Linked DNA regions of Cricetulus griseus. The protein of the gene in region 2 purifies or fractionates together with the protein of the main gene of each other region. This does not show direct contact. Links are inferred from orthologs where the notes say so. Each region holds a gene or a part of one and is shown on either strand. Other genes may lie near its edges. The genes, in order: Kif5c and Klc1.

Region 1 (4,404 bases), on a different chromosome or scaffold from region 2:
AAGTTCTCCTTTTACTTCAGTGGCTCTGGTCATGTTCCTATCAACTCTGATAAGGTCCCCAAGCCACTGATGGATGGGAGTAGGTCGGTCTGGCAGAGCAAATGGCCTAAAGAAATATCAGAAAAAAGCAGGACTGTTGAATGAAAGAAGTCTCAAGAATTTGGTACCTGTTAGATTGTAAGCATCAAGATGGGAAGTTACAGGAGAGGAGGGAGCCTAAACATATAGGGATAAATATGATTATGGGGGCCTAGGCCTCTCAAGAACTTTGGATTTGATCTTCTATATATTCTGTTCATTCTGCAGGATTCTAAACAGAATTAAAAATTGATCTATGATTCGTTGTAACTGAACTTTTTTTTTTTTTTTTTTTTTTTTTTTTTGGTCCCAAACTGCCTTCTGAGTGTTGGGATTCCAAGTATGCACCGCCACACTTGGTTGAAAGGTTCCTGACTTGGGACTCAAAAGCCAGTTTCAATGTCCAAGCTCTATAGCAGCATGCTAAATATGTGTGGATTTGTGTTTTGACTTAGTTTTGCAGTGATAAAGTCCTGGACTTTCATCGAATATGAGCTGTTATGAACTACCTATGTATAGGCATTTCCAGGTATAATTGGCTTCCATGCAAATCTCATTTCTTTCCTGTTTTCCTCTTGCAAAAACTACTACGCTGAGAAACACTCTATAGATGTTCAGTTGTACACTGTATTGATGAGTATTTTTTCTTTGGGATCAGGAAAAGATGTGACCTGTATTTTTATAATTTACCGGGGATATTAACTATGACTTCCGTTCAGTTCTTGACTTAGGCAGGCACATCAGTCCTGCAGCTCCCCGGGCGTGGGTGGCAGTGTGTGTGGGGTGTCCTAACAAATAAATCCAAGCATCCTTGCCCTCCCACCTGTAGGTCAGAGTCCGACTACAAATCCCGGAATGCGCCGCGCTCACACCCAGGGTGGGGCGGGCTCTGCAGTGACGTTACCGTACCGAGGCGGGGCAGAGGGGCGGTCCTGGAGGTGCCGGAGCGCCCTGGTGCTGATGCAGGATGGCTGAGTGCGCCGGAGCCCGGGAGGTCTGAGCTGGGAGGGGATCGTTCCCTGCGCATCGCCTCGTCCGCCCGCCGCGTGGTCGCGGGCAGGTGGGCCAGGGCTCAGGACTTGGCTGGAGGTCAGCAGCGGGGTGGGGGGCGGGGGGCAGCTAATAGGCTGCTCTCCTTCCCGGTGGCGGAGCTGCCCGGCTGTCCAGCGCAGGCTCGCCATGACCTGCTGAGAAGCTGCGGGAGGCTGCGGGAGGCGGCCTAGCTGCGGGCAGCGGTTGGTTCGCGGCCTCCTCGGTGGCGCTGCCCAGCCCGGCCCCCCACCCATCCCCGTGTCCCCTCCTGCAGCGTCCCGAGATGGCGGATCCAGCCGAATGCAGCATCAAAGTGATGTGCCGGTTCCGGCCCCTCAACGAAGCGGAGATCCTCCGCGGGGACAAATTCATCCCCAAATTCAAAGGCGACGAGACGGTGGTGATCGGGGTAAGTGGCCTTGGTGTCTCGCCCCTTCATTCGGCTTTGCACCGCAGAAATCTTCCGGACGCCTCCTCGGACATCCCCGCGGGGCTGAGCTCGAGGGTGGACCCGACGACAGCCCTTGGCCGGTGACTCCCTCCTGGCAGTGGTGGCACCGGGCGGCGGGGGCGTGCGAGGGCCGCCATTGTTCGTGGGTGGGGGCTCGGGTGGGCCTATTGTTCCCACGCTCGCCTCCGCGTGGGCAGTGTTTCGGATTGCCCAGCAAGCCGGGATCCCCAGGCCTTGGTCAAAAGTATAAGCTCCACAACCCACAGATGCATCCAGGCTAAGGTTTGTGTGAGACCTTAGCCAAAAAGGTAGGGAGGCAAGGTGCAAGAAAAACAAAATCCTCGCCTGGGCCGTGTATAGCCGGTTTCACCTTGCTCCCCGTGGGGAAGGTGAGGGGTGCTCTTGTTATCCCTGGGAGGTCTCTTTGTCTCTTGCTTCCTATCACCCCAAATTGTCCTAGATTTGTGCTTTGTCTGCTGGATGTCCCCTTCCCCCAGATCCTCTCTTCTGAGTGTCCACACAGTCTGATAGGTTTCGCTCTGGGTGAAGGGGAGACTGTCCAATCTTCGGAGAGAGGGAGTCCCTAAATAGCCCCTCTGTGTCAAGAGCAGAAGTTACTTTAGCATATCTAGGGTCTCCACTTTGATCACCCCCCCCCCAACTTAGCTCTGTCCCTGCAGTCTGGCTGCTGCTGGAACGGGGAGGGAAAACTAATGGCTTATAGTTCTTAATGGAATATACCAAATGAAATAAACTAGTCTTGCCCCCACCCCTTTTCTTAATCTGCTCTCCCTGTAGTGTGTGGCCCACGGTGCCCTCTTTGTATTCGAGCCGCGTGGGAAGGGAGTGAGTTAATGCGAGCCTCTAGGTCCCCACTGATACGTTCCTGGCAGCCAGCTCCAGGCTGCTGATGCAGCCTTCCCGACTCCAGCATTGATTAAGTGATGTCATCTCCATCACTGAGCATGCTCGGACTACCCCCCCCCCCACTCCCCCAGTGATTCCAGTACTGTTGTATTTAGGTCAAGTGATTGACAGGTGACAGTTTTCTGAGAGTGTAGCTAGAGAACACCTAGCCCTTCCCAAGCATGAGGCCTGTGTTTCTCCACCTAGGCTGCCCCCAGCATCTTTGGCAAGGTTGTCTGCTGCAGTCACTGTAAAGGGACTTTGGACAAGGAGGTGCTAGTTGTACTGGTAGGCGGGTATTTTCCTGTGTAGGGGATTAGAGTCCAAGCCTTGGCCTGGGGGCTTCATCTTGAATCTTGCTTAAGAAGGCACTTTTCCCCCCTGCAGAGCATGGCCACTTCCCTCCCGGTTTTCACAGCTAAAGGAAAATGCAGACCTCTGAATGCTGTGTGCATGGGCAGTCACTCATTCTGGTACCTGATCTATGAGAGTAGGAAAGGGATTTTTTTTTTCTTTGCCTAGTGTTAACATGCAGAAAAGAAGTGTGCTACAATTATTGATGAGGAAATTCTATACTTAATGGCATATATAGGCTAGTGATATATTCATGGCAGCCTGGAGCTAGTGTTACAGCTTCTAGCAGGAGATCCATCATAGTCTGATCTGTCTTTCCTGAGTGAGGCGTGGTTCAAGTACAGTGGCAGTTGCTAGGTACTTCTAGTCCCTTCCTCTTGGCTTGTAACAATTTTTAAAGTAACCATTGTTTCAGCTACTGAAAATGTTCTGGTGACCTTGTGTTTTGTTTTGTTTTTCTTCTCCTGATGCTTTAAAGGGCCTGAAGTTCTTCCCATATCTCCTTCTCCTCCCCCACCTTTCTTCTCTTCTACAAGGATCAGTGAAGTAGAGTAATAAATCCTCTTAGTTGTGCAAGCAAAGATTAATTTTAGTACTATTTACTATGAGTCTATGCTTATTCTCTGCCTAAATGTACACATGTAATACTAAGTTAAAGCAACCAGATACAGAAAAATTTTAACAGAAAGTTATGCATGTGAACATACATCCTGCACTTTATTTTTAAGGTTTTTGCTCATCCTACTATATTTGTTTAATGTAATAAATGTCTTTTAAAGATAATTACTGAAACAAAGCATCATATAGAGAAGTGTTATCGATTAGCTTGATGGCTTTTCAAAGTATGGGTTCCCAATAACCATCTTTCAGAGTAAGAAACAGGCATTTTCAGGACCTTAGAGGTTTCTCTGTTGTCACCAGTCCCCCAAGCCCCAGGGGAACCATTATTTTCATTTCAATATCACTTATAAATTTTGCTTGTTTTTCTTTACAGTAGGCTTTCTGTTGCGTTTCTAGCAACTGACATTGCAATGCTATGCTTGTCAAGTTGGTCTTGTTTGCAGTGGTGTTCTACCAGATTAATATACCTAAATGTATTTATTCCTTAGATTTTTTTTTTTAAAAGAGGATCTAGCTTTGTAGCCCAGGCTGGCTTTGACTTCACGATTCCCCTGCTTTAGCCCTCACAATACTGCAATTATAGGTGTGTGCCACCAAGCCCTGTAGCTGTTGGGACATAGCTGGCCTGCTTCCATTCGGGGCTAGCTTGTGTGGTGAACATTGCTTTGTGCATCTTTTGGTTCATGAGCATATAGAACAGACCAGTCTCAGATGCTGATTTGTGTTGCCTTGGCCTTAAGACCTTTCCCATTCCTAATTATTAATGTAGGTGTAAATTCAGTCTGGCAGTGTATATGACTCAGACATACATAGAAATGGCCTCAGTGGGTACATGGTGAGGATGCCCAAAGAACCTAGAACTGAGAGCCACCCAGAAATGTCGCTCTCAGCAGACACAAAGGAGGACATTTGGTGGAGTTAACTGTTAGTCCAAGGTCAGAAATCTGAAGTTCTTAGTTTTG
Region 2 (4,422 bases):
TTACTCCACACTGAATTTGACAGTCTTCAGGATGGTAGCAGTCATTTCTGTTGCATGGTCTGATTTCTGATAGTCACTCGACTAAGAACTAAGTCACTTCCGACTTCTCTGGCTAATTGTTTTAAGTCAATCATGTCTAAAGACTGCTTATGGCCATTCAGAGATTTTCTTTTTTTGGGGGGGAAGGGTTCGAGACAGGGTTTCTCTGTGGCTTTGGAGGCTGTCCTGGAACTAGCTCTTGTAGACCAGGCTGGTCTAGAACTCACAGAGATCCAACTGCCTCTGTCTCCTGAGTACTGGGATTAACGGCGTGCGCCACCAACGCCCAGCCAGAGATTTTCATTTTTCCCAACCTAAAAATACATGCTTTAAAATGTTTAATTTTTTAAAGATTTATTATTTATGTGTACTCTTGCATAATTTTCCTGTGCACCAGACTACCTGGAACTGGAGTTGGAGACAGTCTTAAGCTGGGTGTTGGGAACCAAACCTGTGTCCCTCTGAAAGTACAGTAATTGCTCTTAACAACTGAACCATCTCTCTAGTCCCAAGAATGTATTAATTTTTAAAAATAGAAACATTGAAATTGAGAGTACTATTGATTTGTTTGTTCTCGAACTGAGGAAACGGGACCTTTTCAATGTTAGGCTAGTACCCTACCCCCAGCAACATCTTCTGCCTGACTTTATTTACTATGGATTATTTAAGATGTATGTACCTCAGCTCTTCCATCTTTGCACCTGGAAAAATCCAGGACTGGCTTCCATGCATGTCTACACTTTGTTTTTGTTGATATGAGAAGGGACATATGTAGCAGGGACAGACTTTTTACTGGTGGCTCTCCTGCCCCAGCCTCCCGAGTGGAGGGGCAAGAGTTATTCCCTTCTTGATGATTGCTTTTAAAATGCACTGCCAAAGGCTGGGCGGTGGTGGCGCACGCCTTTAATCCCAGCACTCAGGAGGCAGAGGCAGGAGGATCTCTGTGAGTTTGAGACCAGTCTGGTCTACAGATCGAGTGCCAGGACAGCCTCCAAAGCTACACCAAAAGATAAATAGATAGATAAATAAATAAATAAATAAATAAATAAATAAAATGCACTGCCAAGCCAGGTGCTGTCGGGAGGTCACCACTAGGTTCCAGCCCTCTTGGTTCCACACAGGGCCAAGGCTGGATGATCTGGAGGTGGCCCACATAAACACCAACTCTTTAAATAGTGCCACTGCACTGTTACAAACACATAGAGCACAGAACAGTAAGTCAAATTTCCTACAACTGAGGCTAGTGGGCAGTCCATGTAGCAGGCTTAGGAGACTCCAGCTTGGTCCAGTTTCCCAGTGGGGTTTTCATAGTCCCATCACAACGCATTCCGGCTAATTCTGATCTGAGGCTTAGTCATGCTGTATAAAAAGCCTTGGAATTTAAGTAACGCAAAGAATCAAAAATGCAACTACCCCTCTACATAGCAGTTTAAATAGTACATAATTTTTTGTTCTCAGTCTCCCTGCACCCCCTGGTGTTTCTGTATAGCCCTGGCTGCCCTGAACTCCCTCTGGAGATCTACTGGCCTCAAAGGTTTTGGCCACCACCTCCCTGGCCTCTCTAAAGATATCATTTTTGCAAGTACACCAGATCACCACTTAATATGTAAATTTCCAACTGTTTAAATAATAAGACAGTAGCCGAAAGTGACAATTCCAACACAATACACCTGGAAATGGCCTGCAAAGTTCGTGGTCATGCCATCCACTCCATCACACACCAGTATTACTTTTTAAACGCTTTAATTTTTTTATGGGAGGGGGCTCCATATGTAACAAGGAAAAGCACCCCATGCTGGCCACCTTCAGGTCGCCAGGGAGATTCCACACCCGGCCACTGAAAGAAAAGGCAGGCTGGCCCCTGGCCACAGACCACAGCATGACAGCACGCCGCCCAGGGCGGTGCCGAGGAGAGGTGGGGGCTGGAAGGGCGGGGAGGCCTAAGACAAAGCCAGCCGGGTGACCCGGGACACACGCCACCGCCGTCTCCCCGGGACCTCAGCATCAACGCTTTGGGACCCTAAGCCCACAGCTGCCATTAAAAGGACGTCTGCACCGCGGGGCCTGAGTCAGGGCGGGGCCCTAACACAGATGGGACAGGAGTGGAGCGGAGGAGGGCGGAAGGGGCAGGGGCCCGAGCCCAAGGTGCAGCGGGGAGGACCGAGCCCCGAGCCTGGAGGGTCCGGGGCGGAGGGGACAGGCGCAGAGAGATGACAAAGATCGCGGACAGGGACAGGGACAGGGACAGGGCAGGAGCCCAAAGCAGGGGCGCAGGTAGCCGGGGACACGGGCCGCGTCCTGCAGGAGCTCGGGGAGCTGGAGAGGGGCCAGCGGAGGGGCGACAGGAACCCGGGAGGACGGGCACGGGGTGAGCGGGGCGGGGAGGGGACCGGGCACGGGGTGAGCAGGGAGGGGACCGGGCACGGGGTGAGCGGGGAGGGGACCCGGGCACGGGCGGAGCGAGGAGGGGACGGGCACGGGCAGCGGGACCCGGGAGCGAGGAGGGGACCCGGGCACGGGCGGAGCGAGGAGGGGACCCGGGCACGGGCGGAACGAGGAGGGGACCCGGGCACGGGGTGAGCAGGGAGGGGACCGGGCACGGGGTGAGCGGAGCGCGGACCGGGCACGGGGTGAGCAGGGAGGGGACCGGGCACGGGGTGAGCGGAGCGCGGACCGGGCACGGGTGGAGCGGGGAGGAGTCCGGGATGCAGCCCGGGAGGGCGGGGTGCGGATGCGGCTCTGCACGGCGCTGCACGGGGGGAACACGGGGAGGCCCGGGAGCCTCGGCCTGGAGGATGCGGGCGAGCGGGCGAGCGAGCGAGCGGGGCGGGGCGGGGGGGACGGGGCCGCGCACTCACCGTCCGGTCGGGAGCGCCGCGCTCGTCGCGCTGTCACGGGCCCAGGCCGCGCAGAGCCCCGGCCGCCTCAGCAGCAAGCAGCGCCTCCGCGGCCGCGCCCGCAGCATCCTCGCCCCGAGCCGCGCTCCGCAGCCTCGCGCCACCGCTCCGCCGCCGAAAATGGCGTCGCCGGCGCCGCGCCCGCCCCACAATGCCGCGCGCCGTGACGTCACCCGCCCTCCCCGCCGCCGGGCGGGGCTGCGGGGAAACTGAGGCGGGCGGGCGAGCCGGCGAGCGGCTGGGCAAGGGGTCGGCAATCCGGCTCTCTCCAGAAGCCTGTGGTCCCCCCCCACCCCCCGCGCGCTCCTCTGAGACTCGCCCCTCGAGGGACAGAGGACGGCAAGGATGCCAGGCGAGCGGGGGCGAGCCGCGCAGGGTGGCTCGCCCGTCGACCTCCAGCCTGGGCCGAAGGGCAAGCAAGCTGTCCAGCTCGGCTCCGGCGGCTCCCGGGCCGCACACAGCCGCCTGGCACGCAGCTGCAGGCCTGAGTCAGCGGCAGGCGGGAGGGCACGCTGAGTCAGGGCCAGGCCCGGCTCGCCTAGACCGGCTCGGGAGCCCTCCCGGTGCCCGCAGACGTCCCCGGGGAGCCCGGGGACATTACTGAGGGGTCTGGGCTGCCAACGCCAGCCTCCCCTCCGTGGGACCCGCCTCGGTTTCTGCTGGCATCGCCCGGCACCTGCTGTGCTCCGCAGCCCTGACTGACACCTGTCAGCATCAGGGAGGCACGTGCTTTCGGTCTGAACCGGCCGATCCAGTTACTTTGACATCCAAAAAAACAAACAAACAAAAAAAACACAAAAAATCAGACTGGTTAATAAGGGACAGCTCCTGTGGAGAACACAGCAGCTCAGATTGGCCTAAAGAGAGGCTGTGGGTCACGGTCAAGTAAAGCCCCGGCACACAAACTACTGCTTGGATGTTGTGTCGCCGCTTGTTCAGTCAAGACGCCTGCTCCTGGCCAGGTGCCCTAGGAAAGAAAGAACAGGCTAAGCAGGAGCCCACTTCCGTCCGCCCATCTGCCCCCTCAGAGCCCTGGATACCCGCACGCCTCTTTTTTTTTTTTTCTTCTGTCTCTTGCCGTCACTTTATTCATGCTTTAGCATCTCGTTCTTTTGCCCCTTCAACTGAAGTCCACTAAGCTCCCACGGTCCTCATGGGAAGACCCAGGTGTGTAAAGTGGCAGATGGTGTCTGCCATTCCAGTGAGGGTGCAGCAAGACTTGCCAAAACGGAAAAACAGGCAGGTGACGGGGAAAGGGTACACAGCCCAAACCCCAAGGTCGGAAAAGTGTGCTGACAGCGAAAATAGACGAAGGAATGGACCCACGAAGCCAGCACAGAACGCTGCAGGAAAATCCTGAGACAGGTTGATCCCTGTTGTGTTGTAGGGGGAGAAAAGACTTAGCTAGGTGTGGAAGTGGTGGCGCATGCCTTTCATTCCAGCACTAGGGAGGCTGAGGCAGGTGGATCTCTGTGAGTTTGAGACC

What was found.
Region 1: the proteins of Klc1 (region 2) and Kif5c purify together in Homo sapiens (co-immunoprecipitation; 4 studies listed by BioGRID and IntAct, counting the BioPlex papers as one, with this or other methods). This does not show direct contact. The link is inferred for Cricetulus griseus from reciprocal best matches to the Homo sapiens genes KLC1 and KIF5C.

What each region holds. Positions count from the first base shown.
Region 1 is NC_048599.1:124,678,049-124,682,452, reverse strand, and holds the start of Kif5c (kinesin heavy chain), read left to right. Parts: upstream 1-1,393; coding exon 1,394-1,519; intron 1,520-4,404. UniProt on the Homo sapiens protein: Microtubule-associated force-producing protein that may play a role in organelle transport. Has ATPase activity. Involved in synaptic transmission. Mediates dendritic trafficking of mRNAs.
Region 2 is NC_048598.1:182,278,761-182,283,182, forward strand, and holds the start of Klc1 (kinesin light chain 1), read right to left. Parts: upstream 3,057-4,422; 5' UTR 3,005-3,056; coding exon 2,898-3,004; intron 1-2,897. UniProt on the Homo sapiens protein: Kinesin is a microtubule-associated force-producing protein that may play a role in organelle transport. The light chain may function in coupling of cargo to the heavy chain or in the modulation of its ATPase activity.